4 linked regions of the Elephas maximus indicus genome follow. The protein of the gene in region 2 purifies or fractionates together with the protein of the main gene of each other region. This does not show direct contact. Links are inferred from orthologs where the notes say so. Each region holds a gene or a part of one and is shown on either strand. Other genes may lie near its edges. The genes, in order: DDX20, AGO2, GEMIN4 and TNRC6C.

The links.
Region 1: the proteins of AGO2 (region 2) and DDX20 purify together in Homo sapiens (affinity purification with western blotting; 3 studies listed by BioGRID). This does not show direct contact. The link is inferred for Elephas maximus indicus from reciprocal best matches to the Homo sapiens genes AGO2 and DDX20.
Region 3: the proteins of AGO2 (region 2) and GEMIN4 purify together in Homo sapiens (affinity purification with western blotting; 4 studies listed by BioGRID and IntAct, with this or other methods). This does not show direct contact. The link is inferred for Elephas maximus indicus from reciprocal best matches to the Homo sapiens genes AGO2 and GEMIN4.
Region 4: the proteins of AGO2 (region 2) and TNRC6C purify together in Homo sapiens (co-immunoprecipitation; 6 studies listed by BioGRID and IntAct, with this or other methods). This does not show direct contact. The link is inferred for Elephas maximus indicus from reciprocal best matches to the Homo sapiens genes AGO2 and TNRC6C.

The regions. Positions count from the first base shown.
Region 1 is NC_064821.1:169,130,656-169,138,086, forward strand, and holds the start of DDX20 (probable ATP-dependent RNA helicase DDX20), read right to left. Parts: upstream 3,009-7,431; 5' UTR 2,830-3,008; coding exon 2,529-2,829; intron 2,080-2,528; coding exon 1,985-2,079; intron 2-1,984; coding exon 1-1.
Region 2 is NC_064833.1:4,034,733-4,041,691, reverse strand, and holds the start of AGO2 (protein argonaute-2), read right to left. Parts: upstream 3,014-6,959; 5' UTR 2,890-3,013; coding exon 2,868-2,889; intron 1-2,867.
Region 3 is NC_064837.1:20,925,928-20,933,374, forward strand, and holds the start of GEMIN4 (gem-associated protein 4), read right to left. Parts: upstream 3,019-7,447; 5' UTR 2,966-3,018; coding exon 2,956-2,965; intron 1,072-2,955; coding exon 1-1,071. Other genes in the region: diazepam-binding inhibitor-like 5, read left to right, coding at 4,101-4,364. UniProt on the Homo sapiens protein: The SMN complex catalyzes the assembly of small nuclear ribonucleoproteins (snRNPs), the building blocks of the spliceosome, and thereby plays an important role in the splicing of cellular pre-mRNAs.
Region 4 is NC_064837.1:67,973,353-67,981,065, reverse strand, and holds the start of TNRC6C (trinucleotide repeat-containing gene 6C protein), read right to left. Parts: upstream 3,011-7,713; 5' UTR 1,631-3,010; coding exon 1,490-1,630; intron 719-1,489; coding exon 697-718; intron 1-696. UniProt on the Homo sapiens protein: Plays a role in RNA-mediated gene silencing by micro-RNAs (miRNAs). Required for miRNA-dependent translational repression of complementary mRNAs by argonaute family proteins.

The sequences.
Region 1 (7,431 bases), on a different chromosome or scaffold from region 2:
TCTAAAAAAAAACATAAAATATACCTTTAACAAGTCAGGGAATAAATACATATGACTGGCACATTAATTATATGACAAACTACTACATAACCATTTAAAATGATGATTGAGTTTTTACTGGCAAAGGAAAACATTCCATTCATCCATTTACATATTCATTCAGCAAATATTAAATGAGAACCCACTAAGTGCTAGATGACATACTGATGCAAAAAAGCCAAACCCGTTGCCGTCAAGTCAATTCCTACTTATGGTAACCTCACGTACGTGTTCTAGAGTAGAAGTGCTTCATAAGGTTTTCTTGGCTGTAATCGTTATGGAAGCAGATCACCAGGCCTCTGGTCTGCGGCACCACTAGGTGGGTTTGAACCATCAACCTTTAGATTAGCAGCCAGGCAAAAACTGTTTGTACCATCCAACATACTAATTGCTAGGAGATCACAGTTAACAGTATAAAGCCCTTGACCTCATGATACTTTCATTCTAGTATGATAAGATGGTATATAATAAACATATATAAATAATGGCAGGTAATAAAAAGTGCTACGAAGAAAAATCCAACAGCAAAAGGGATGGAGTCATTTTCATGGAGTAGTCAAGGAAGCCCCCTCTCTGAAGCTGACATTTGAGCAGAGATGTGAATATACAGCAGAGTAGAGCTGGCTGTGTGACACCTGAGCAAGAGTTTTCAGGAACAGGGCAGCAAATGCAAAGGCCTAAAGATGAGAGTGTTCTTGGTGTGTTTGTAAAATGGCAAGGAGGCCATGTGGCTGGACAGAATTGGGGGAAATGGAGCGGACGACAGAGATCTAGCTCCAGGGGGCTAGATCATGAAAGGTTTTGTGAGCCACGGTGAAAACTCTGCCATATAACTACTGAAAAAGGAGAAGGTTAAATTACATGTTCTCAATTATGAGAAGGAAAAAAATGCTTACAAATAAAAAGGACTAGAAGAAAATATGCCAAAACTGTTAACAGCAGTTTCTCTCTGGGTAGGTGAGATTATACATTTTGTTTCCTGGTATTTCTGCTAAATTTTCCCAACTTTCCATAAATGCCCATGTATAGCTTTGATGCAAAAAATTATGTTATATAATTTTGATAATACAAAGACCTTAAATTTTAAAAAAGAATCTTATTTATGGAAATTATGCACAGTTTTGACACTTAACCTGCTGCCAGAGTGCTCACTTTCAGCAGCCAAAATGGCAAATACACCTTAGTCCACAAGTAGAAAAGCCCAGGTCATTGGGTAGTAGAAGGATTTCCTATGAGTAGCATCAACCAGGATTCAGTAGGTAAAAGGTAAGACTCAAAAAGCTTCCCGGATAATGTATATATGAGTATCCCTGGTTAAAAACAACCGTATTAAAGGATCATCATCCTCAGATATACATAACTGAAAATATGAAATAAAGTCTGTCATAACTGCTATGCCACAAACTAAGGATGCCATCTGCTGCACCTTTGTATCCCCAGTGCCTGACATACTGTTTATACATACTATGGGCTCAACAAATCTTTGTTGAAGAAATGACCGCACCTCCATGCCAAGCCTGAATTGTCTGTTAATTTGAGTAAAGCGGTCTTAGAACTATTCTAAGAAAATCCAGAAGATGGGAGATCAAGATGATAGATTCACAGATCTTTAAGAACCACCTGGCGTTACCACCAATTATAGCCAGAGCATCACATCACCATGAATCAAATCAAACGCTAAGTCTCGCCTTGCTGCAATCTAGTCAGCAAGTAAAAGAACAATGAATCCTTGTCTGTAGTCTTATGTCACGTCAAAACCGACACTCATGGTTGGCTTACTCTGTTTATGATGTGGTAATAATATTCCAAACTTCAAAGACCAATAAGGTATCCTTGGTAACCATCCACACCAGCACCACTCAGCAGCCTTAACGTCTCCTTTACTTTCATAATTTACATACGGTTTAACTCAATCATTCATCTGAGTCCTCGGAGCTAAACTCACCTGGGTACTTAAGTTTTCAAGAACAAGAGAGTCCAAAGCAATGGTGGAGAATACACAGGTTTTCCCAGTGCCTGACTTAGCTTGAACAATTAAATCTGAGAAGGAAAAATCAACAAATTGTCACCAGCAAGTACTAACTGAAGGAGCTTAGATACCAACATGAAATGGGAGAACTGGAAAGGGTCTCCACAGATAACCTAGCTGGGACCTGCCATTTTCAGTTTACCATCAAAAATGCACGAGGCCATATTCAGAGCCATCCCAGGTGTGTCTGAACCTCTACCACTGTTTAGCCTCTCAAGCTCAGAATCACGAGCCAGCGCTGGAAAGGGCTCTAGCTATCTTCAAATGCAAAATCTCCCCTTTTGTTTTACAAAAGGGGAAACTGAGGCTCGAAGGCGTGCGGCACCTAGCCCAAGGCCGAGCCCTGCCCAGGCGGCCGACCTGGTGCTCCTTCCCGGTCCTCGCCGCGGGCCCAGCTGCTGCCGCCCCTCGGGCCCCCCTCCTCGGCCCCGTCCGGCCTCCCCTGGGCCCCCGCCCTCACCGAGACCGCAGCGCCCCAGCGGGATGGCCTTGAGCTGCACCGGGGAGGGCCGCTCGAAGCCGGCCGCCCGCAGGCCCTCCAGCACCGGCCGCGACAGCAGCAACGACTCGAAATCCGCCGGCTCAGCCAGCAGCACGTCCCCTGTGCGGGTCCGCGGGCCGCCGATGTCGTGAGCCGTCCGCAGGCTGCGCGCCGGCCCGGGGGCGGGCTCCGGAGCCGGGACAGGCGCGGTCACACGCTCCTCCGGTAAAGCCGTCTCCACGGGAGCCGAGGCCGCAGGGGCCTCAAGCGCCGCCGCCATGGTACACGCGCCACCAAATCTCGCGGTACTTGAGAAGAGGCGGGGAGCATGAGAGCGAGGAAAGAGAAAACGTTATTGGCAGTCTTCCAGTGACGACAGTAACACGCCCGGCCTTGGACAGAAGAGGAGGGATGGAAGCCGGAGGCTGGGAAAGACTCAGGAACGACAACAGAAAAATGTGGCCTGAGGAAGGCGGGAAGTGAGAGGAGAGAGAAGATGAGGCTACCGGTGTGTCGCTGCCTTCGGCCTGCAGAGGGCGCCACGTGCTCACGGTGGGGGCGCCGTCCCTCCTCCCGGCTTCTTCTGGGTGGGTCCGCCCAGTCCCGACCGAGTGCAGCCACCCGCACAGCCCTGTCTTTGTGATGCGTCCGGTGCGTCACACCTCGCCGCCTCTGAGCCTCCGCTGGCTGTTCGGTCAGCCTGAATCCCGCTCCGCCGTCATCTTTTCCCGAGCCCTCCCAACTCGCTGTTTTCTCTGTGTTCGCAGAGAGCGCTCGAGGTTTAACAAGACTTCGGGATTTTTTTTTTTTTTATGGTGTATGTCTGCCTGCAGAATGGCTTTGTTCATCCTTGGGTCCCCAGCTCCTGACACGGTACCTGGCACGTGGTGAACTCTAATAAAGGAAATTGAATTGGAACCAGGAGCTGGAATTGAATATTGAATTGATGACCCTGACAATTGCCAAACCTCAAACCTCTCTCTAAACTCGTCTTATATTTTCATCCATCTGCCTCATCAACATTTCTACTTTAGATGTCTAGTACCTGGTTGCCGTGGAGTCAATTCTAGGCATCTCAAATTTAACATGTTTTCTTTGTATGTCTTGCTCCTCCGTCATGAGTGGGCAACTAGCGGTCTTTATGGCTTTCTTTAATTTAGGTCTCTGCTCAAATACCACCTTTTCAAAGAAGTCCCCCACCCCTGCCTTTTCCGTCACTATATTCCCTTGTTCTGCTCTAATTTTTTATAGGACGTATTATATATAATTGTATTATTGTTGTTGTTAGGTGGCGTCAAGTTGGTTCTGACTCATAGTGACCCTATGCACAACAAAATGAAACACTGCCCTGTCCTGAGCCATCCTTACAGTCGTTCTTATGCTTGAGTTCATTGTTGAACCCACTGTGTCAATCCACCTCTTTGAGGGTCTTCCTCTCTTCTGCTGATCCTGTACTCTGCCAAGCATGATGTCCTTCTCCAGGGACTGATCCCTCCTGACAACATGTCCGAAGTGTGTAAGACACAGTCTCGCCATCCTTGCTTCTAAGGAGCATTCTGGCTGTACTTCTTTTGAGACAGATTTATTCATTCTTTTGGCAGTCCATGGTATATTCAATGTTCTTCGCCAACACCACAATTCAAAGGCATCAATTCTTCTTCGGTCTTCCTTACTCATTGTCCAGCTTTCACATGCATATAATGTGATTGAAAATACCATGGCTTGGGTCAGGCACACCTTTGTTTTCAGGGTGACATCTTTGCTCTTCAACACTTTAAAGAGGTCCTTTGCACCAGATTTACCCAATGCAATGCGTCTTTTGATTCTTGACTGCTGCTTCCATGGCTGTTGATTGTGGATCCAAGTAAAATGAAATCCTTGACAAGTTCAATCTTTTCTCTGTCTATCATGATGTTGCTCATTGGTCCAGTTGTGAGGATTTTTGTTTTCTTTATGTTGAGGTGCAATCCATACTGAAGGCTGTGGTCCTTGATCTTCATTAGTAAGTGCTTCAAGTCCTCTTCACTTTGAGCAAGCAAGGTTGTGTCATCTGCATAAGGCAGGTTGTTAATGAGTCTTCCTCCAATCCCGATGCCCTGTTCTTCTTCATATACTCCAACTTCTGGTATTATTTGCTCAGCATACAGATTAAATAGGTATGGTGGAAGAATATAACCCTGACGCACACCTTGCCTGACTTTAAACCAATCCGTATCCCCTTGTTCTGTCTAAACAACTGCCTCTTGATCTATGTAAAGGTTCCTCACGAGCACAATTAAGCGTTCTGGAATTCCCATTCTTCCCAATGTTGTCCACAGTTTGTTATGACCCACACAGTCAATGCCTTTACATAGTCAATAAAACACAGGTAAACATCCTTCTGGTATTCTCTGCTTTCAGCCAGGATCCATCTGACATCAGCAATGATATCCCTGGTTCCACATCCTCTTCCGAAACCGGCCTAAACTTCTGGCAGTTCCCCGTCGATATACTGCCGCAGACGTTTTTGAATGACCTTCAGCAAAATTTTACTTGCATGTGATATTAATGATGTTGTTCTATAATTTCCACATTCAGTTGGATCACCTTTCTCGGGAATAGGCATGAATATGGATCTCTTCCAGTCAGTTGGCCAGGAAGCTGTCTTCCATATTTCTTGGCATAGACGACTGAGCACCTTCAGCACTGCATCCATTTGTTGAAACATCTCAACTGATATTCCATCAATTCCTGGAGCCTTGTTTTTCGCCAATGCCTTCAGAGCAGCTTGGACTTCTTCCTTCAGTACCATCGGTTCCTGATCATATGCCACCTCTTGAAATGGTTGAACATCGACTAATTCTTTTTGGTATAATGACTCGGTATTCCTTCCATCTTCTTTTGATGCTTCCTGCATCATTTAATATTTTCCCCATGGAATCCTTCACTATTGCAACTTGAGGCTTGAATTTTTTCTTCAGTTCTTTCAGCTTGAGAAACACCAAGCGTGTTCTTACCTTTTGGTTTTCCATCTCCAGCTCTTTGCACACGTCATTATAATACTTTATTTTGTCTTCTCAAGATGCCCTTTGAAATCTTCAGTTCTTTCACTTCATCCATTCTTCCTTTTGCTTTAGCTGCTTGACACTCAAGAACAAGTTTCAGAGTCTCCTTTGACATCCATCTCAGTCTCTTCTTTCTTTCCTGTCTTTTCAATGTATTTATATATTTATGTATTTTCTGTCTCCCCTACTTCATGAGGACAGGAAGCTTTTTTGTCTGGTTCTCTGGTCTATCCCTAGTGGGAAAAAGAGAATCCGACACATAGTAAGTACTCAATAAATATTTATTGAGAGAATGAGTGCCTATAACAAAGACTTAGTCACAATTCCAAACTTATTTTCTGAAAACCTATCTTACAATTTCGAACTTAAAGCTATTCTGCGTCCAACACCAAACTTTTCCTTTGTCCTTAGATCATAATCCTGGTCATTATCTCCCACTTACACACACAGACAAACACACACACACACACACACACATACACAGTGGTTCCAGATTCCAAACAATGTGCCTCTTCGGCATGGTAATCCCACTGGAAAGGAGTCCTGCTTAGAAATTTACAAAACCTTGAGAAAATGTCAACTGTCCATAGGAAAGAAGGAGAACTGATGATGAGGGGTGCATTAAACCCCCAGGCATCCTATTAGGACCCCCACCTTTTTCAGCCACCTAATCCTCCAAGTCACACCTTCTACTATCCCTCCCCTCTTTGTAACAATTCACTGACTGGAGGTAATTATGGCTCCAAATATTTCTTCCATTCCTCTTCTCCAGTCCCCGTAGCATCTGCCGTGTTTTAGGCCCCTTCACCATCCTGAACTATTGCAATAACCTCCTGAATGGTCTCCTGCCAGAATTTCTTCTCTATCTTGGCCATCCACCCGCATCTGCTGGAATGAGCTTTCTTAAATAGATTATCCTTGGTTGCTTTAAACCAGCTTCAGGCCTTGCTTCTTTTGACACCCTTATTTATTCCCCACCCCAGGCTCCCACCTCACACTGTAAATAATTCTTGTCCAGCTCTTACCATATTGTATTTACTTGTTTACATGCCTGTCCCTCCTACTAAACTATGATCTTCTCAATGACAGGAATGTTGTCACCCTAGGCTCTCTCCAGCCCAGTATGAGGCACCTGGTAAACCTAATAAATATTGCATGGCTGACACTTTCTTGCTCAAAAAGTCTCTACCGGGTCCCCATGTGCACAGCAGCAGTTCTACAGAACTTGGACCAATCACTGTCAAAGAACCTGGCTCTCATCCCGAGAGAAACAAAAATACTACTTTTCCAGAAAAGGGCATTCATAGTTTTATAGGCATTCTCTTATTGCATTTGTTATTTATGGTGTTTTACTGACACGAATATTGCAGTAATGTTATTGGGAGTACATTTTATTGCTATGGCTAAAAACACAAATCAATAAAATTTTTCCCTCAATGGTTAAAAAGAATAACAATATTGTTGACCACAATTTCAGGGCTGTAAAGATAAAACAAAGAGAGATCACTTAATAACTAGGAAAGGTGTAAGAGAAAAACACATGGAAACTGAACACTAGTGTGGACTATGTCTGCATCTCAGCACCCACAAGATAAAGTCCAATCAGACCTCAGCCTCTTTTCGGGCCAGGAAGCCCACCTACCTCCTCCAAACAGACCAAACTACATCAATTCCTTAATGCTCATGGCTTGTCACAGCTCAGAACCTTGGTGCTGCTCCGTCTACCTGGAAAGCCTCGCCCACTTTATATATCCAGGAGCTCCTACTCCCCTTCAAGTCAGCGGAGGCCAGTGGAAGGAGAGATCCCTGTGAACTGAAGAAGTAAGAGTGAGACTTGA
Region 2 (6,959 bases):
GCACGGTAGCGGGCTGCGTCATTGACAATATAAACCGTGAGCTCCAGAAGCACGTTAATTAAAACTTCCGCCGCTGAAACTCGAAGTTAACAAGACAGAAATTAAAAAAAAGAAAAAGAAAAGCCAGTACTACTTAAAACCGTGTAAGTTTTAGGAGTCAAAGCTTCCATAATCTTTTTTTTTTTTACACACTTATTTAAATTCTTCCTCCAAGTTTATAAATAGAACTAAGGAAGCCCTCGCACAGCCAAGTACCCCTGTACTCCCGTACCTCCCAGCTTGCTGCTTCTCTGTGGGCAGAAAGAAGGAAATTTGCTTCTGCGACAACCATGCAACATTACTGGGAGACCTCAACAATGGAAAAGGAAAAGAAGTGGGGTGCATGGCAAGTTAAATTACACTAGAAACCACAGTGTAAATCAGCTATTCTCAAAGGCATAATCTTATTCAGACAACTCTCATTACGTACTCGACTACTAGCTGAAGGTTGGTGGTTCCACCCAAAGGCCCCCCCAAAGAAAGGTCGGGCGATCTGCTTCTGAAAGAGTCACAGCCTTGAAAAATCCTGTGGAGCAGTTCTACTCTGCACACAAGGGGTCGCCAACAGTGGAAATCCACGAGATAGCAACTACCAGTGACAACATTTGAGAGTTACTTTGTAGTAAACTGGTGAGTGTAACTCCCAGGGGTATCTGAGCACAGTAACACCATTAGAAACAATAGGTTTACAGTACGCTGCTGCTCAGACACAGTGAAAGAGCTTTAAGTGGCTAAAAAAAAAGAATCAAACTAATTTGTTCATCTATGAAGGTTCAGAAAGTCACTGAAGGACCTACCCTAAGCCTTAACTCTTTGAAAGAGTTCAAAAAACTAAAAAATGGTAACACGCCTAACTTTAAGAGCCCAGATACTGATTCACATACGTAACAGTTTTTTATTTGTAACAGGCACAATAGAGGCCTGTTGCACACTCTATATCTGAAATTAATTTACGTAGCAAAACTATCTGTAATTATTTTACAATTCAGGCTGAATGTCCTTTCATTACTCTAAATTAAGAAATACAACACTGAAGAGTCTCACTGACGAGACTCAGCTCCAAAAATTCCTTTTATACGAAATTAACAGCCCTCGCATACAGAATAAAATGGAACTGCATCACAGCCGTATCATTACAAAACAACCTAAAATTTGGGCACACTTCCCATCCTGCCCTTAGCTAAGAATTATCCTACAGACCCATTTATCCTGAGCAGGTCTTATCTGTGAGCTGTGTGTCCCTCTCCCCATCACCACCAAGGCCTCCACCGGAGCAGGACTCTCCAGAAAGCCGGCAGAGGCCAGGAAGGAGCCTGGAGACCCACAGGGCTGAAGCGTTTTAAGAAATCGATGTGCACGGGGAATTACCCCAGGCCAGGCCAGTGCACGCAGTGAGGGGAGGGGTGTTGCTTCCTGAGGCTCTTGTTTGAATTATACACGCATATAATTTAACGGGTCTAGATTTAACAGGTATTTCTCACCCAGGGGTCAAGGTCAGAAAGGATTGAAAGCCACTTCTCTGAGGAGGGTGTCAAGAGAATCGGCTTGTGTGTCTGACAGATTGGTCTAATGCTCACTGGCTGTCTGACCTTGGGGGAGTTCTTAACCTCTCTGAGCCTCTGTTGTCCACCTTTAAAATGAAGAACCACCACCAACTTCAGCAAGCTGTCCAGTGGATTAAGGAACACACTCTACAGAAAAGCCTGACCTTCCTTCAAGGTTCTTCACTTTTTGCCGGCCTCCAACTTGTAAACTCAAAGTCTGAAAAAACATACCAAGTAGGTCGCTAACACTTACTGGGTCCCTTTAGACGGATCAGCTCTCAGAGCCTGACTCAAGGCGGAGAGGACCATCCGGCCCATTTCACGGGTCGGGGTCTGTCCACTCAGGGCCCCAAGAAGCCAGGATCTGACCCCAGGGCTTGTGGCAACGGAGCTCAGGCTCTGCCCGCAGGGCTGGGGCACCTCCCAGGTGCCGGGTTCAAACCATTTTGCAATCAAATTGCTGGGAGCCCTAAAGAGTTGGAAAGTTGGGTCGGCTCAGCCTTGGGAAAGCTTTCTAACCAACTGTGACATCAGAAATAAGACACCCGGAATCCGCCAGGCACCGAGCTCACTGCGGGGAGCGATCAGAGCCGGCCCCAGTGGCTCGGGGGCCTGAGGCGGGCGGGCAGGGAGGCGCGGAGGGCCGGGAAGGAGAACGCACGGAGCCCCGGGCGCGGTGGCCAGGCCGGAGCTCGGCGGACAAAGGCGCAGCAATGCCCGGGCCAAGTGGCAGGGCCGCGGGGAAGCGGGGCGGCCACGTGCCCGGCGGGAGACGGCGACAGCGTTTCAACGCTGGACCATTTTCTCCGCCAGCAAGTTAGCCGCCCTCCCTCTCGGCATTAAAGAAGGAAAATGTGCGCCTGCTTCAAGTTTTTAGAACTTTTCCGACGCAGGCGAGGCTGTCTCGGAGGCAGGGAAGCCGACGACATCAGCTCGTCTCCCACCTCGTTCCAGGAACCGGGGAGGGCGCCCCGCGCCACGGGAGGCGCCGCGCGGCTCCGGGCCGCTCCCACCCGCACGGAGCCCCGGGCCGGCGCCACCGCGCGGGCGAGGACCCCGGCCCGCCGCCCCCGGCCCCGCCCCGGCCCCCGGCCCCGGTCCCCGACCCCGGTCCCCGGCCCCGGTCCCCGACCCCGGTCCCCGGCCCCGGTCCCCGGTCCCCGGTCCCCGGCCCCTGCCGTACGCCCAGGCCGCTGGGCTCGGGCCTCCACGCGGCGCCCGGCCGGACCCGGGGCGCGGGGAGCGGGTGGCCTCCCGCCTCGCGCCGCCAACCGCCGCACTCACCGGGGCCGGCTGCCGAGTACATGGTGGCGCCGCTGAAGGCTCTGCGCGAGGGGCGGCCGCGCGCACCACCCGACGCCGAGAGCTCGAGGAGCTGCCGGCCGCTCGATCTGCCCCGGCGCGGCCGCCTCGCCGAACAGGTTTACCCGCCGCGGCGGGCGGGGCGGGGAGGGCGCGGGGAGGGGCGCCGGCCGGCGGGGGAGGCGCGCGCGCCCGCGGGGGAGGCCGGCCCTGCGCGCCACCGGGTCCGCGCCGGGGGCTGCGGGGCGGGGAGCCCGGGGGCGGGCGAGGGGCGGCGAGTGGGGACCAGGGGCTGGGGCGCCCGGGAGGGACGTGGACGGAGACTCGGGGCTGGAGGGGAGTCGGAGGGGACTGGGCGGAGACTCGGGGCTGGAGGGGAGTCGGGGGGGACTGGGCGGAGACTCGGGGCTGGAGGGGAGTCCGGGGGGGACTGGGCGGAGACTCGGGGCTGGAGGGGAGTCGGGGGGGACTGGGCGGAGACTCGGGGCTTGAGGGGAGTCCGGGGGGGACTGGGCGGAGACTCGGGGCTGGGGTTCCGGGGGGACCTAGGCGGGGACCCGGGGCTGGGAGGGGACCTGGGCGGGGATTGGAGCCGAGTGGGCGGGGACGCGGGGGTTGGAGGGTTCCGGGGGCGACTTGGGCGGGGACCGGCGGCGGGGGGCGACGGTCCGGTGCAGCGCCCGGGAGGAGCGACGCCGTCCCCCGGCCCGGAGGCGCCCCTGAGTCTCCCGCCCCCACCCTCGGGCGGCTTCGCGGCTCCTCTGGGGCCCGGTGCACTTGGGCACGATGTGGCGGGGGTGCGGGAGTCCGCCTCCTGGCCGCGCCTGCCGCATCGCAGCCTGGCTTTTTTAAATTAATAACGAAACATGAATGTCGGCGCTTGAACTTGAACGCGCTCCCTGCCCATTCGCGCACAACCACACCGCCACCTCCCGGCGCGACTTAGACGCAGCCCAGCCGGCTCTGCTCCGGGGCTGGGGCCCACTGCCCCCAGCCCCCTTGGGCTCTGTTGGGCCCGTCTTTCAAGCGGTGCCCTTACCAGCCCCCACCATGTCACTCTTTAATGTGCCTTTCTGTGCTTTCCTGCCTCTGCCTGGGATGTTCCCCCATCCAAATCCTCCTCACCGCCAAGTCCCTCTGGGCCCCACCTCTCCCTTGGAGCCTTTCCTAGGGGTGCTAGGTAGAGGTTACCTCCTTCCTGCCCCAGTAGGCGGGCTATTAAAGTCAGAAGGTGACACACAACCTGAGTTACTCATTTTCTAACACTTTCACCTGCTCCTTTCTCCAGGCATCCTATGAATACGTATTATTGTCATGTTGTCGTGTGCAAGGCCCAGTGTGTTGGGGGAGGTGCAGGGCCCTTGGCAGGTTTATGATGAGATCTCTGCTGTCTCAGAAGCCATTGCCGTTGAGTCGATCCTGACTCATAGGGGCCCTATAGGACAGAGAAGAACTGCCCCATAGAGTTTCCAGTGAGTGCCTGGTGGATTCAAACTGCAGACCTTTTTGTTAGCAGCCATAGCACTTAATCACTATGACACCAGGGCTCCCTAATGTCATCCCTAAATAAGTGAAGGAAAACTGTAATTTCCTACAGAGAGAAACTTATAAGGAAGACATCTGTCTTCACCAAGTTCCCGATGGAGTGGGGCTCCTCCTCAGTCTCTGAGTCCTGTCGCTGCGGTCTCCCATATGCCCAGCCACCCGTCTCCAACTCTGCCCACCACCTCCACCTGAGAAGGCTGAGCCACCTGACCAACCACTGAAATGACCCTTCCCTCTCCTTCCGCTCTGAGCCGCAGCTGGAGGCATGTTGTGCGAACACAAAGCTGATCTTGGTCTACTTTGCGTACAGCCCTTCCCTGGGTTCCTGTCTCCATCCACACAGGGCCCAACATCCTTACTCTGGTCTACAGTAGAGCCCCACCTGTTTGCCAGAGTCTTCTCACATCAGACTCCAGGGCTGTTCAGATCCACGTCTTTGCTTTCTCAAGACTGTTATCGTGAGAACGTGAATTTGGAGAAAATGTGTGGCAGTATCCGGTAAAAGCTAAACACAAACCCACATCTCGGCTCCCGCGTATATGTTGTTGGTGTTGTGAGCTGCCGTGGGGTCAGACACCCCCCCCCCATTGGTGGCGACATGCACACCTCAGCAAAACACTGCCCTGTCCTGCCCATCCGCATGATGGGTTGTGGCTCCCATGGTCGAGATCATATTATCGATGGCTGATTTTCAGAAGTAAATCACCAGGCATTTCTTCCTAGTCCAAGTAGTCTGGAAGCTTCGCTGAAGCCTGTTCAGCTTCACAGCAACACACAAGCCTCTACTGACAGACGGGTGGTGGCGACACATGAGGTACACTGGCCGGGAATCGAACCCAGGTCTCCTGCATAGAAGGTGAGGATCCTGCCTCTGAACCACCACTGGCCCCACACATTGTTTAGGGATGCAAAGCTAATAATAGAAATACAGAGAAAAACAAGAAGGTGATTATCATAAGAGTCAGAATGGGGTTTACTGCTGGGGGGGTGTGACCACAGAGAGGCCCATGGGGACTTTTGGGGTCCAAGGCGTGTTCCTTCTGGCCGTGGATGGGTGGATACTGGCGTTTGCCTTGCAACAATCCCTTAAGCTTTATGTTTTAAAAACTTCCCTGTACCTCTGTTATACTTCATAACAAAGAAGTCTTGAAATAAACGTGAATGTTATCACTCCTATTTATGAACCACAAAACACACACACACACACAGAAAACCCACTGCGGTGGAATCAATTCCGACTCCTAGGGATCCTATAGGACGGGGTACAGCTGCCCTCTAGGGATCCTATAGGACGGGGTACAGCTGCCCCCTAGGGATCCTATAGGACGGGGTACAGCTGCCCCCTAGGGATCCTATAGGACGGGGTACAGCTGCCCCCTAGGGATCCTACAGGACGGGGTACAGCTGCCCCCTAGGGTTTCCAAGGACGGGGTACAGCTGCCCCCTAGGGATCCTACAGGACGGGGTACAGCTGCCCCCTAGGGATCCTACAGGACGGGGTACAGCTGGCCCCTAGGGATCCTACAGGACGGGGTACAGCTGGCCCCTAGGGATCCTATAGGACGGGGTACAGCTGCCCCCTAGGGTTTCCAAGGCTGTAACCTTTAAGGAATCAGATCGCCACGTCGTCCTCCAGGGGAGCTGCGGATGGGTTTGAACTGCCAACCTTTTAGTGAACAGCTGAGCACTTAACCACTGTGCCATCAGGGCTCCTTTTATAAACCACACCCCCTTATAATTCTCCTCAACCCCACAGGCCTCTCTCCATGGTCCCTCTCAGACACCCACAAAACTCGTTTCTGCCTGGAATCCCCGGATCACTCAGGGGCCTGACTGCCCCGCGGTTTGCAGCTGTCACCTCTAGCTCCAGAATGCCCAGAACTAGGATCCCCCCCTGCCGTCTGGACTCCATTGCTCCCCTCTTTTTCCTGGAGCCCGGCGTTGGGTAACTTTGTTGCAAACCTCTTTTCTAGAAGGTGTCTGCTTCATTGCGTCGCTCCTTTCTGAGATCCCTCATCCTTGGCCCCCTGCTGGCCAAGGGGCGCTGGTGCCGCTTTCGCGTCCCCGCAGCACGCACCCGTCCCCGCCCCCTCCGGAGCCCTCGGGGCCTAGGGGATCCTGCGCTCCCCGCCCCAAAGCGCGGGGACACGGGGTTCTCTCCGCGTGGTCCTGGCCCTCCTTTGCCTGCCCTCTTCCGAGGTAAAACCATGCTTGACTTCACCCTGCTGCGCCTGTGCTGAGGAATCCCAGGCCCCTTGCCACAGCCCTCGCCCCCCAAATTCGCTTCAGGCCCAGGACATCAAAGCTCACCCTCTCCCTCCTCCAGCTGCTGTTTCTCCTTTGCTCGCCAGCGGGTTAATACAGTCAGTGTCCACCAAAACAAACCAAACCCACTGCTCGTGTGGATCCAGACTCATCGAGTAGAACTTCCCTGTGGGGTTTCCTAGGCTGTAATCTTTACAGAAGTTGGCTGCCACATCTTTCTCCTGCAGAGCGGCTGGTGAGTTCAAACTGCCAACCTTTGGGTTA
Region 3 (7,447 bases), on a different chromosome or scaffold from region 2:
AGAGCTTCAAGTTCTGGCTGAAGGAAGTCAGACTGTCACACAGCCGGTAGCTATCGTAGCTTGTCCCCTGGCTGCTGTTGAGCATGGCCTGCAGCTCTTCTCCCCACTCCCGCAGCAGGCTGAGCATGTACTCAAACCCAACAAACAGCGTCTCAGTTGGGAGCCTGGCCAGCGAGTTCAGGCTGACATCCCGCTCTGCCTCCTTTACCTTCTCTGTCAGCGCCTGTTGGTGGTATGGCTTCTGGGTGTCTGAATTCCACACGGAAATGACGGTTGCCAGTTTGTCCAGATACACGGTGGCAGACACTTCCTGGGGGTCCTCCTCCACAAGGGCAAACACCGTCAGCATGTCGGCCAAGTTGGCCAATGCGCAGCACTTCATTCCAGGACACAGGATTTTATTCTGGATTTGCTTCAGCCCGTTGAGCAGCATGGCCAACAGGGGCATGGTGGGACACACATCTGGGTCTGACTTGAACCTCTTTGGAGGATGGCAGAAGTCATCTGAAGAAGACAAATACTTATGGGCCATTGTCCTAAACTGCGAGAGCAGAGGGTCCTGCTGATTGCCCTTGTGCTTCATCATTTCCCACCAGATGTCTAGGAAGAAGGCCACATCCTTTGAAGAAGTGTTAACAGTCATGTGTTCCAAAAAGCGCTCTAGCTCTACGCGGCAGATGGTGGTGGGCAGGGCCATCAGGAGCTGGATAAAGAGTCCAGAAGCTTCCAGGGACTTGAGCAGCTCAAAAAGGATTGTGTGATTGATAGTGGGGAGCATGTTGCCTACTGAGAAAAACACATCCTCCTGCCACCGGGTTTCAGTGTCAGAAGGGGTGGCAGGGTAGGGCTGAAGAACCTTGGCCCAGATAATGATCAGAGCTTTCTTCTTCCAGGCAAAGGGCTGGGAGCACGCTGTGGCCGAGATCTCTTTCAGGGCCTCCACAATGGGCTGCCCAACATGTTCCCAGTCAGACTTGGTCAATTCTGCCAGTGCTTTGGGGCGGAAAAGCTGCTCGGCCAGCAAGAAGCCCCCATGCAGAATAGTCATTTCTTCACAGATGTTCAAGGGGCCTGCGTGGAAAGAAGCCAAAGAAAGTGGTGAAAATTTTTAAATAAGTAAGCAGAAGTTAGAGGGAGAGACAGCACTTAGGCTGGCTGTCACTATCAGGGTTAGAGAGGACAAGGTTTTAGATGAGATCAGTGAGAAGGGGAGAGGAGGGATAGTTACAAAAGCCACTGCAGAGCTGGAGTGAGACTTAGCTGAGGAATAAAAAATGACTCACAGGTTCTCTAGCCTGGGAACTGGGAGGCCAAGGAGCACCATTAGAAACAGGTAACAGAGGAGAAGACAAGTTTGGTTTTGGTTATTTGAAGTCTGAGGTAAAACGTTAAGATAGAGGTGTCCTCCAGCAACAGGAAACGCAGGTCTAAGGCTCAAGAAGAAAGTCAGCACTGAAATGTGACTTTGGTAGCTGTCTGACCAGGGGGGAGCCCTGAAACCAAGGCTCAGGATGTTCCGCCAGGGTCCCAAAGATTCTGTAAATTTAATTTCATTGCTCTTTGAATTTACTTAGAGCTGATGTCTGGCTCCCAACACTCCTGCCTTCCAGAGACAACAGTATGTACATGTGCTACTTGAAGTAATAAGCCCCCAAGCAGTTAATAGCTGGGTAACTTCCAAGTGCTTTATGACTAGCTGGTACTTGGGGGTACGCACCGTTTATTAACTGCTTACTCTATGTCAGGCACTGTGCCAAGCACACATACCAAAAAAAAAAAAAAAACAACCACTGACATCGAGTCAATTCCGACTCATAGTGCCCCTATAGATCTTTTAATCTTCAAAACAACTTTCTGGGGACCATGATTCCTGTTTTAGACACGGGAACACTGAGGCCCAGGAACACTTAATATGCTCAGAGTGTCACAACTACAAAGTGGTGGGACTCGGACAGAAACCACCACAGCTGCAGGGCTCCAAACCCTTCAAGCGCTGCCATTCTACCACTGGAGGGCTGAGGGGACAGGGCCCAGGACATTTCTCTATAGCTGACTAGGGTATCACCCCCTTAACAGCATAGCCAGCGAGGTGGGAGGCTTCAGAACGGGGGAGCAATTTATATACACTTCTCCCTCCGTTTTTCCAACCATGCCTAAGAGGACTCTGAATCAAGATGCCCGCAGGTTCAAAGGCACCATCTCAGCTGCAATCATTCCCACCAAACCCCAAAACCAAACCTATTACCATCGAGTCGATTCTGACTCCTAGCGACGCTATAGGAGAGTAGAACTGCCCTATAGAGTTTCCAAGAAGAACCTGGTGGATCTGAACTACCAACCTTTTGGTTGGCAGCCGTAGAACGTAACCACTAAGCCACCAGGGTTTCCAACCACTCCAACAACCGCCACAAATTCGACGGGCTTGCTGTGCGGTAGGCGCTGTACCCGACCCTGTCTGTATACACGTGAACTCAAAACTCTCAAAAGCTCTATGAAGTAGATACATTATCATCGCCCCCATTTTCATCGATGAGGAAACCTGATGAGGGTAAGAAACTTGCCCAAGAACTTAGTTCAATAAATGTGCCAGTTCAAGGCACCCCTGAGTTCCCCGGGGCCTCCGAGCCAGCCTTTTCCAAACCACGTGCACTAACCCTTCCCACTTTCAGAAAACCTAACTCCACATCCGCCTGGCTTTTCACCCGGAAAGGGGCCGGGAGAGGGCAAGAGGCGGTCAAGTAACAGCCAGCCAGGGGCTAGAGCCCGGCCTCTGGATCCTGGGTTTCCAAGGACATCCCCGCCCGCCAAAACCTCTGCCCGACCGGGAGGTGCTTTTTGGCCGGGGCCCTCCCGAGCGTGCGCAGCGGGAGTGGGAGGGCCGGGCAGAACCGCTCTAGTTCCCCGTTGCGGGACGTGGTCCGGGCTGGCCCGGGACTCGGGGACCGCGACACCCACCTAGGTCCATGGCGGCGGCGCTGCCGGCGGCGTGGGGCCGCCCCTCCCCCTCAGAGGCGGCGAGTGCGGCGCAGGCGCCACGCCACAATGGGCGGGGCAGGGGGAGGTACAATGGGCCGCGCCTCAGTCCCCGCCCACAGCCTCAACACTCGCTCCCTCCGGGACCGCGGCCCCGCTCCGCCGCTCAGCGCGCACGCGCAGCTCCTACCAACTAGCCCGCGGCGCCGAGCCCGCAGCGCCCCCTATCGGCCAGAGCCCTCCCGCCAGCCAACCAGCAGGTACCTGCACCTCCCTCCCGCGGCTGCGTGCCCCGCCCCGGCCCTCCCGCTCTCTAGTCCCCGCCCCGGCCTTGGCTCCAACCCCGGCCGCGCTCCCTTTCAAGGCTCTACTCAGCCACCCATCCGCCCAGTACCATTCCCAGATCAGCTTCCTGAATACCAGTCGGCCTACCCATTAGCCCCGTCCCTGGCCCCACACTCACCCCCACACACAGTTCACCCAAACGGAATGCCCCTCCGCAGGCTGCCCACTAACCCGCATAAACAGACACAACACACTGAGGGGCTTCCTGCCCCAGAGCAGGTCTCCCCGTCTGTCTCAGAAACACACATAGGCCCCCAGCGCTTCTCATCCCACACCGCCTCCCGTCAAAACCAAACCCGTTGCCGTCGAGTCGATTCCGACTCATAGCGACCCTATAGGGCAGAGGAGAACTGCGCCATAACGATTTCCAAGCAGGGCCTGGTGGATTTGAACTGCTGACCTTTTGGTCAGCAGCCTCGCTCTTAACCACTGCACCACCAGGGTTTCCAATTTTAGGTCCGGATGCCTAAATTGGAAGCGTAGTCCTCCCCGCAAAATGACTGTGCAAGCCAAAACAAAACAAAAAAACAAACGTGGGGCGGATCCAACCCAACATGCCACCAGTTTGCAATCTGTACTTCATAAAGGCACACATTTGATTTTTCACTGAGAAAACACATGGAAATATCCTGTGTTCTCCCCACACACGCCCCGGCTCCCTTTTCCCCTCTCTTCTTCTTTGAGCTAATCATCAGCCTCAAGTTGTTTCTCTCTACCCTCTGAATTTCCTAGCGCCAGATACCACCTAGAAAGGACAGAGGGGCCCGGCCTTACTTACACCAATGGGCCAAGTGGAGTTTGAGCTAGCTTGTGCTGCTGTCAAGGAGCTGAAGGGTCCTGTGAGTGATCAAGAGAAACTCTTGGTATACAGCTTCTACAAACAGGCCACCCAGGGCGACTGCAACATCCCTGCCCCACCCTCCACAGATGTGAAAGCCAAGGCCAAATGGGAGGCATGGAACGAGAACAAAGGGATGACCAAGTTGGATGCCATGAGGATCTATATTTCCAAAGTGGAAGAGCTAAAGAAAAAGGAGGGTGGTTAGGTAGGTCAGATTGGCGGACAGAAGAAAGTAGCACAGTTCCTCTGGTAGAGAAAGGACTCCTTAAGACCTGGAAAGACCTCGATGGCTGAAATGTCCTGAAGCGGTACCAATTTTAGCTGAGACATCAATAAATGACTTAAGCTGCATGAGAGCGATTGTCTGCAGTTGGGAAAGAGATAAACTCCAAGTGACTGGGAAAGTGTCCAAAATTTATAAGAAACATCTCTCTAGGTAAAATTGCGTACTATTGCCAGAGCATATGCAGATATTTGGCAGGAATAGAGGGGTGGGAGGAAGAGCAGTACAACGAAAATGCACAAAATTTGAGGTCAGTAAAGCCATTCTCCAGGAATTCGATGGTTCCTTCTCTCCCAGGGGTTGTTGATCCACTACTAACTCAACAGTACGGAAGGGAATGGGGCTGTCTTCCAAAAACCTAGAGTCAAGTCCCCATTACCCAAAGCCCCCACTGGAACAGATCCCATCAAGTTAATGTTTGGAGGGAAGTCAAACTCCTTGTGACAATGTGGTGAAGTAACTGATGCATCACAACACAGCAGTTGAGAAATACTAGAGAAGATGGTTTCAAAACACCAGCCTCTGGAAGCCTCATCTAAAACCCAGTAACCTAAACTTTCTTTGGACTACTCCCTAACCCTGGTTTCTGCTTGGGGATGTTTGTGGGACAAGACAGCTATGCACGCATGAGTAGGAACCCTAGTGGTGCAGTGGTTAATTGCTCTGCTGCTAATGGAACGATCGGCAGTTTCTCCCTGGGATAAAGATGAGGCAGTCTGTTTCCATAACTATTACAGCCTTGGAAACCCTATGGGGCAGTTATACTCTGTCCTATAGGGCTGCTATGAGTCGGAATCGACTCACCGGCACACAAAACATGTATAAGTAGACTTTGTTTTAGGACACAAGACACCCCTCATACTGCTGTGCAAGGGCCAAAGTGCTTGACCTCACTTCCTACTCTTGTTGGTGATTATCATGGAGGTATCAGTGCACAAAGCACTGTATCTAGTGACTGGCATATGGAGCACTAAATGGTATTATTAAAGACATTTCGGATAAACAGGTCTGCTGTGGCATGGGATTTCCCTCAAAAACTGTTTTTATACATCATGACATTAGGTGAGCCCCAGTTCACGAGAACCATTACACAATAGAAACAACCACCATAAAGACTTCAGGCAACAAAGAAAACCAAGTGTCACCAGGTATCTTCAAGATCTCTGTCCATATATTTGCAGGAAGCTGCTACAGACAAGTAAACTAAGAATGAAGTACACCCAGAAGTCCACAGTGGCCAAAAAATTACTTCTTATGGCCTGTAAATGGGCAAGAGCCACACTGCAGAACAGCAGTGCTGTTCTCTGGGGGAATTATGAATACAATTTGATGCTGTTAGGGACAGGCGTCACATCAAATAATAATAAGCTTCTTAATACAAAATATGGTGTCAATTTAGAAGCTCTTGTTGTAGCTGTACCATTCTGGAAATCATTATGAAACCTGATAAAGTAAAAAATTGCCATAATTAGGAGGGCAGAGAACACTTGTGGTTTATCCCATGACTATATAAAAATGAATGCCTAAAAACAAAAACCTAACCCATCCTCCTCAGGCAACTGTCCTTCACGTACCCTCCTCTTCACTTTTAAAAACAAAATCTTGTTTATCAATATCCACCAGATTAACTACTATCTCGGGATAATTAGATAGTTATCACAAAGTGGAAGGCATTGAAAATAATTCCAGGATGTCTCAGTTCCACAGATGATGAATGGAAGAAATGAATGAGTTGACCATCTGAATCTAGAAGGAAAAGCAGTGGCCTCTAAGATTGGGTGTGTGAGAAAGCAATTTTGAAAAATACACAATTTTAATATGAAAAGCACAATTAGCAGTAAGGAAAAGAGGTGTACAATTATTCACTGTAGCATTGTAGCTTTGTTTGAATAACAAGACTGGAAACATCTGAAGCTTGCATTTGTAAAATATGACATCAATTTCCATAGAAGAAATTTTCTATATACTGAGAGGCAAGATCTCTAGGATATATTACTTAAAAAAAAAAAAAAAAAAGGCAAGGTATAGTATACATAGTATGTTAAATCTTCTCTGTGTGGAGAAATTAGAATATATTTTGATTACCTACGGGGGGTCATTACGAGTTGGAACTGACTCGATGGCAACGGTTTGGTTTTTTGGTATGGGGGCAGGGGAAATGGGGTCAATGGGGATGGGTAGGAGCAAGACTTTTCAATGTATACCTTCTTACATTGTTTTGATTTTTGAACCACGTGCCTCTATTACCTAATAAAGAGATCTGAGGTCAGGTCACTTCCTTAACTGATCATTAAAGTCAGAGTAAATGTCCTGTTGATTTCTCACAGGGTAACGGTAAGAAATCTTAGACCAAAATGGGGAAACTTCCCATTAACTCTCATCACTTTCAGTGGACAGGCTGGAGCTCTCCTGAAAACTGGCTGTTAAACCGCAATGGCACGTGTGGCAGGAGAGATGGGTAAAAGTGTCACAGAAAGGCGCACTGAATGTCCATGGGCTTTGCCACTTCTACCAAGCTGTCGGGCAGACGTGGCCTTCAGACAGCTAACTCTCTCAGGCCACCCTAGAACCCCTGCACCACTGCCGTTCTACATCTCTGGATTTCAACTCAAGGCACGCTTGAACTTACACTTAATATACTAGGACTTCAAAACCTCTCAATTAAAGTAACAAAATTACTACTCTGAAAATGTAACTCTAGAGAAACAAAAGAGCTTTCCAACTTCATCGGCTTAGAACAGTAGCCTGGGCAAAACCATCTTCTTATAACCTTTTCTAATTGATTACACCATCCCCAGAAGTGGGAAAGTAATTGTAACTTTTGCTTTAATAGCAGACGAACTGTGCAGAAGTCAAACTTCTGGATTCTTTGGTAAAAGTCCCAAGCTGTACACTAAATGGTTTTAGGAAGAATAAAATACTAAAGATTGCAACAAGGGAAGAAAAGGTGGGCAACGAGCTAAATAAAAGGAGGCTGATATCAAAAGACCAAAATGTGCCAGGTG
Region 4 (7,713 bases), on a different chromosome or scaffold from region 2:
GCAGGGTGTCTCAGTTTAAGTATGAGATGCCTGAGGCTTAAAGACGGGAAGTGGTTTGCGCAAAGTTAACCAGAGCTGGTTTATGACTCCGGAGTGTGTGCTCCTCACCACTAGAAAGCACCTAAACATGTCAAGTCTGCAATGAAGATGCTCCCAGTGTCGCTCCCACTGTGCTCATTCTGAATCGCCAGGAAATCACAGTAAGAACTGTGTGCTTCCGCCAATACCCATAAGACAGCAGCAAACTCTGGACTTGGAGAATTTAAGAAAAGAGAAAGTTTTACATATCAATAGACAAAGGAGGAACAGAGAAAGAACATGTCCCTTTTTACCATAAGGAAAAGCTGGCAATGAGGAACCGGAGACTTTAAAGACATCCAGTGCCCTTTGGTCGGATCGCCTGTATCAGCGTAATCCTTGTTTAGCAGAAATCAAACCGAAGGAAAACTGTAACGCATTGCTAATAAAACTTACATTAACATCCTTTAGGCAGTTTTTTAGAGTAGGCAAATGCCAATGAAATGCAGATGTAAAACCAGTGATAAATGAAGAATTTCACAACGAATAATAAAAAGTCAGCACAAAATCTAAGTTAGATTCTGTTTTTTAACCATCAATTAAAAACTTAGTCATCTTCATCATAAACAGTTTGATCTGTCCTAAAATGTAGCCCCCCACAAATATAAATAAACTTACCTTTGGTTTTTTGATCAGCAGCCTGGGGGGAAAAAAAAAAAAATCAGAAACTCTTTAGGAATAATAACCTGTAGGATGGACCCATCTATGAAAGTATGTAAGTGGACTTCTAATACTAGAATTTTAAAATCACGATTTTGTCCAGTTAATTTTATCATTTATTATTGGGGAAAAACATACAATTGCCTACATGCTATTGATTACATGCCAACAACAATCTAAAGGCAAAAAAAAACCCACCCTGGAAAGCTCCTTTGAGCTCTATTGTGATACGGCCTGGGAGGTATGCAGCTTCAACTATAAAACGTATGAAACTAGGCAAGAGCAAAAACAAATGGCCTTACTTTGTATTTTAAATACCATGAAATCCAAGCATGTCTACAAAGGTTTACAGTGGGACTTTTAATTTTTAGGATCTACTAATAGAATTTTGTAGAAGAACGCTTGCTGAAGTTGCAGCAGTTATTCTGAGCTTTTCTGACAACATCAGCCAGACAGCCCTTTCCCCCCCAACCCCGGGCAGCTCGCTTCAAGCGGGACAGTGTGGACATTCGCCACTTCCATCAACCTTTACACGCAGCAGCTCCGGTACCTCTCGGCCCTGAAGGAAGGCAATTTGTGGCGGTCGTCCTACGTTTATCTCACTAGCACATTAGCTATTCTCCACTAATTACAGATTTAGTATCTTGATTTAAAAAGCAGAATGAAACTTAGTAATGCAATGGCTATGATCATAGAGATGAGACACAATGATTCTCAAAACAAGGAAGATCAGGAGTAACTCTAGCCAAACCTTTTTCTGAGCACCTTCCTTCTTTTTCTTTTCTTCCTGCTTTTTCTTTTTCTTTTCTTCCATCAAACGTTCCTCTTCTTGTGTTTTTTGTTCTTTCTCCCTGTCGAATATAAAGAAAAGTGGTATTAGTACGATGTCCATTTTAAATCGAAAATTGAGAGAAGCATTAGCAGCAGGAAGTTTTAAGGCAGCTGAGTCGCATATGGTGTAAGGAAGGACCCTTGAAGGACAGGTGTTAAGACACAGACATTCACCCCCATCACAGGCACCCTTTGAGAATAACAGCAAGTTGCCCTGACTTCTTCAGTGGCTCATTCATTCAGCCCATATTTGTTGAGCACCAACCTACTATCAGGCATTGTGTTCGGAGAGGAAGGTACAGAATAGAATGGAGTAAGATGCAGTTCCCACAGTTCAGCCCCAGAATATTATTTTTCAAAGTGTTGTCTCAGGGACCACAATCATCAGAATCATCTGGGTACCTGTTTAAAATGTAGAGTCCCAGCGGAGGGAGGGGTGGAGCGCAGGGCATCTTTAGGGCAGTGAGGCTACTCTGCATGATACTGTAATGGTGGACACACAACATCATGCATTTGTTAAAACACACAGGGCTATATAACACACAGAGTGAAGCATGATGTAAACCAAGGACTTTAGTTAATAGTAACATATCAATATGGTTCACCAACTGCAACAAACATAGCACATGGATGAAAGACGTTAGTAACAGGAGAGTGTGTGCAGTGGGAAGGTCATACATGGAACTGTGTACTTTCTCCACAATTTTTCTGTAAACCTAAAACTGCTTTAAGTACACAATATGGTAAATTTAAAGCCCACGAAATTGCTTACGCTTTCCCGCCCACGCCCATGTCTACGTGAGAAAGAGTAGTTCAGATATGTGCTCTTAATAAAGCTTTATCTAATCTCCCCCTAGCTAGCAGTAATCTCTTCTACCTCTAACCCCCAGTGTGCAATTTCTGTTATATCATTAATAATTTTTTTAAATCAACATTTAATCGCATTTTTATTTTATAAAGTAATAAGTGCTCATGGGGGGGGAAAGCCATAAACAGTACAAAAAGATACATAATGAAACGTAAGACTGCTGTTCCAACACCCCCACGGCCCTCTGCTTAGAGGTTAACAAAATGTTAGCAGTTTCTTGGATATCTTTAGGGTATCTCTACATACGACTATACATGTACTCATCCTTTTTTTTTTTAAATAACAAATGCAAACAGACTATTCACTCTTCTGTGTTACTCTTTTTTCACTTAATTATATACCCCACGTATACAGGGAAGCTATGTTCCTTCCCAGCTCTAAATAACGTATGTGGATGGCTAGGCTCTCGGCTCACCAATTTGAGACATTAACAATTAGTGTAATGACGGATGTGGATATGGCTCTTAGAGCACCCCCATTTTACCATCCATTACTACTTTTAGTTAAATCAATAAACAGCATTTACTTACAAAGAATATCTAAATATTTGCTGCAGAGTTAGAATATATACTGGGATTACACTTTACCTTTTGTGCAGCTGTTTTTTTCTTTTCTTTTTTTTTTTTTTTGAGTTCCCAATTGTGTTTCTTTTCCTCTTACAGTATTTTCCTTACAAAAATCCTGTTTTTGTATGCTTCCCTCCAAAATTTAAAACATGAATCCCCCCCCCCCCCCAAATCTACCTTCCAGGGCCTTCAGTCCTGCTCTGTCTGGGCTGGGAGTGCTCTGCCAGTTTTCTTGTATCATAGCTTAATGATTCTTTAATATAAACTTCTGTCTGTACCACTGTGTGATTTCTGTTTTCTGACTGGACCCAGACTGATAGAGCAGAAAGGAGGAATTAACAGACTAAGCAGAAGGAACAAAACGTACAAATGCCTCAGCAAAACATCATCATCTATTAACACTGATTTGACTTTATTAATTCAGCCATCCTGTGACTTCCCTTGTCTTACACCTTCCTAAATTACTCCCTCGATGTGCTGGAAAACATCGTCAAGTATCTTCTCAAGAAAGAACGTGTGAGAGGTTGATTTTTGGAGACCATATATGTTTGAAAACAGTTTTAGGCTGCCTTTTTGTTTGAATGGTGGCTTGGCTAAGCAGAGAATTCCACTGTTCTAGCATGTCTGATTTTTTTGATTCTCAATCCGTTTTAGGTGATATATTTTTTCTATGGAAGCTTATAGCATCTCTTTATCCCCTGGGTTCTGAAATTTCATGATGATGTACCTTGGTGTCTCCCCCCCCACCCCTCATTATTTGTGCTTTGCATTTGGTTGACTCTTTCAACATAAAAATATAATTTCAGCTATTTTCTTGAAAATGTTTTCTGTTTTCTAAATAACAACATACTGAGCCTCCTGGTTTGATTCTCTATAACTTTTCTATTTTCTACTCCATGCCTTTCTGTTATTCTATTTTCTGTGTGCTTGGCTCTACTTGGTCTTCTAATCTTTGCACTGTGCTTCTTAATGACGTTCTTGCTTTCTAATTGCTCCTTCTCCACATTTTGTTTTCGTATTATGGATGCGAAATCATCTCTGTTCTATCTGAGGATATTAGGGTTTTTCTGAAGCTTTTTTGTTTCCTACGTTACCTGTTTCTTCCGTGGACTCTTCTTCTCTTAGACTCTCTTTGATGTGGGAAGTTTTCCGCAACTGTTTGCTAATCATTGGTTGTCTCTGTTCAGGCTTAAGTGTTGATGTTGTTGTTAGGTGCTGTTGAGTCAGTTCTAATTCATACTGACCCTATGTACAGAAGAACAAAACACTGCCCGATCCTGAACCATCCCCGCAATCCTTGCTATGCTTGAACCTATTGTTGTAGCCACCATGTCAATTTATCTTGTAAAGATCTTCCTCTTTTTTGCTGACCCTCTCTATTTATCAAGCATGTTATCCTTCCCCAGGGACTGGTCCCTCCTGATAACATGTCCAATGTATGTGAGACGAAGTCTCGCCATCCTCATTTCCAAGGAGCACTCTGGCTGTATGTATTTCTTCCAAGAGACTTGTTTGTTCTTTTGGCAGTCCGTGGTATGTTCAATATTCTTCAGCAACACATAATTCAAAGGCATCAATTCTTCTTCGGTCTTCCTTATTCATTGTTCAGCTTTCGCATGCATATATGATGACCGAAACTATCATGGCTTGGGTCAGGTGCACCTTAGTCCTCAAAGTGACATCTTGCTTGACTTTAAAGAGGTCTTCTGAAGCAGATTTACCCCCAGCTTCCTTTAGTCCTCCTGTTGGTAACTGTTCCCTCATTTCACCTGGAGTCCCACTCCCACACTCACTCTCAATCTGTGGACGTTCAGGGGCAGTGGCTCAGGGATGACACTTTTGCTGGGTCTGGACTTAACAGAACCTCAGGGCTGAAAGGTGCTGCAGCATCTCTCAAACCCACAGGCCCTGGAAATGAGGCCAACACCAAGGAAGTGAAGCTGAGAAACGGAAAAAAACACGAAGTCTTGGCGACAGAGGTCCTCCAGGTCTGCAGCCTCATACCTTTAGGTTGCTCCCCAGTAATGCTGACAGCAGGAGAGTCACGCCAGGCCAATCAAGACACTCCTTGGGATTTGCAAACTGAATGGAGTGGCCAACAGCTAGATCAGATTCATCTCACTGACCATACCCTTAAGAACCTGTCCACTGGGGCCAGTTACCTAGATTCTCCAGGCCACAGTGGGCCCCTGCCCTTTCTTAGCTCGGCCCTTCTGTTTTTCCTTCAGTTCTGTCAGTTACCTCACATCTTCCTAAAAGTTACATGGCAGTTCTTTCTGCTGCTTATAACCAAAGAATCCTGACACACAAATGGTTTCTAACAAATTTATTTATTTAAACCTATTGTTGTTAGTTGCTGTCCAATCAGCTCTTACTTATGTCAACCTTATGAATAACGGAACTAAATGTTGCCTGGTCTTGCATCACCTTCATGATCGTTGGTATATTTTAGTCCATTTTTACAGCTATTGTGTCAATCCATCTCATTGAGGGTTTCCCTCATTTTTGTTAGCCCTCTACTTTACCACAAACATGACGTCCTTTTTCAGCAACTGGTCTTTCCTGATGACGTGTCCAAAGTAGTCAAGTTGAAATCTCGTCACCCTTGCTTCTAAGGAGCATTCTGGTTGTATTTCTTCTAAGATTTGTTTGTTCTTCTGGTAGTTTACAGTATATTCAACATTCTTTGCCAACAGCGCAGTTCAAAGGCATCAATTCTTGTTTTCGTTATGCAACTTTTGCACGTAAATGAGGTGACTGAAAAGACCATGGCTTGGGTCAGACGCATCTTAGTCATCAAAGTGACATTTTTGCTTTTTAAAACTTTTGCAGCAGATTTGCCCAATGCAGTATGTCCATTTGGTTTCTGGACTGATGCGTCCATGGATATTGATTGCTGATCCAAGTAGAATGAAACCACTGACAACTTCAATTTCTTCTCCGTTTATTATGATGTTGTATATCAGTCCAATTTGAGGATTTTTGTTTTTTTCATGTACAGGTGTAATCCATACTGAAGGCTGTAATCTTTGACCTTTATCAGTTAAGTACTTAACGTCATCTTCATTTTCAGCAAGCAAGTTTGTGTCATCTGCATATCGCAGGCTGGTAATGAGTCTTATTCCAAACCTGATGCTTTGTTCTTCGTATAGCCCAGTTTCTTGGATTATTTTGTCAACATGCAGCTTGAGTAAGGTGAAAGGATACAACCCGTTGTATACCTTTTCCAATTCTGAATGATTCAGTATCCCCTTTCTGTCCGAACAACTTCCTCCCTCTCCATGGACAGGTTCCGCATGCGCACAAGGAAGTGATCTGAAATTCCCACTCTTAGCAAATTGAAACCTAAACTTAACTTAGTAGTTTGAAAACCTGACTGAATTCAGCATTATTTAATTACAATTTGTCTCAAAACTAATTAGGTTCAGTAAACATTTTCACCACTATAGAAACTGTAGTATTACTTACTACATTAACATGTAAATTACAAGTATAAGAGTTTTAAGTGCCGTTTTGTGAAAAACCTTTTCTATATTTCATTTGAGTTTAGATTAGCCTTGAATTAAGTCACAAAGTAATGCTATTACCTTTTATTGGAGCTCCATTTTCTTAGTCAACTTACTTAAGGACACTTGAACGTACTTTAAATATATTTAACATAATAGAAGAAAATCCCTAACTAGTCTGAAAGACAGTAATCTTTGCTGTCAGGTCTTGGTGTGCTATGGAGCAGTTAATAAGAATGACCAGGATGTATGCGCGTTTTAAAAAATATCATTGTTTGCTAGAAATTTAAAAGCTTGTAGTGTGTAGCCAATGATCAGCGTAATGCCTTTCCCAAAAGTGCCTACCTCCAACTACAAAGGAGTTTGGAGTTGGGGAGCTGTGCTGGTTATTATTTATTGCCTCTCGAGCTCCAACCTCCTCTTTTTGTTTGCTCTGTGAAAATGCATCTGGGACCTTTACGTTTTCTTCCTCTGCCAATCGGCATGATGTTAAGCATTTTCAGTAGAGGGTGCTAGAGAGACACAGTTGGAAAAAAAAGTTTTGCATCCAGGTTCCAGTGCGCGTGCTTGCCAGGCTCCCGCCGCGGGTTTGACTTCCCCAGTGCCCAGCTCCTGCAACAGTGGCGACTTCTCCAGCACCTGTGGCCAGCAGCCTCCCCTGTCAACCTCTGCTGAGGGGATTGTAGCAGAGTGCCTCCAACAAGACCCTTTCCTGTGAGCGGCTTTCACCTGAGAAGGTGGATTTCTGGCAAGTTCTGCCAGCACGGCATTGATGAGTTCTCTGCGTCCAGTGAGCATAGCGTGACCTCTCCAGTGAGGTCTGGAGCTCGGCCTTGAGGGCTCCAACTCAGCCCTGGAGGCAGTGGCTACTCCTTATAGCTGCTATTCCTCTATCCTTTAGGGTTCTCTTTACTTCTTGCCAGCCAATCCCTCGTTGCTCTGAGTCTGTAAATGTTCCCTGTTCACATTACTGCATGGTGTCCTCCTGACTGAACCTGCACTGACAGGAAACCTCAAATTAGAGCCTTTTCACCCTGCCAATCAGCCAGAGACTTTTAAATACTGGAGCTGGGTATACCAATAAATAAATAAATAAAATTCACAGATTTGCCCAAACGATGAATAAATTACATCAAAATAAATGGCAAGTTAAATTTAATTAACAACTCACAGACCTGAAATACCAAACTAGACAGACGAGTAA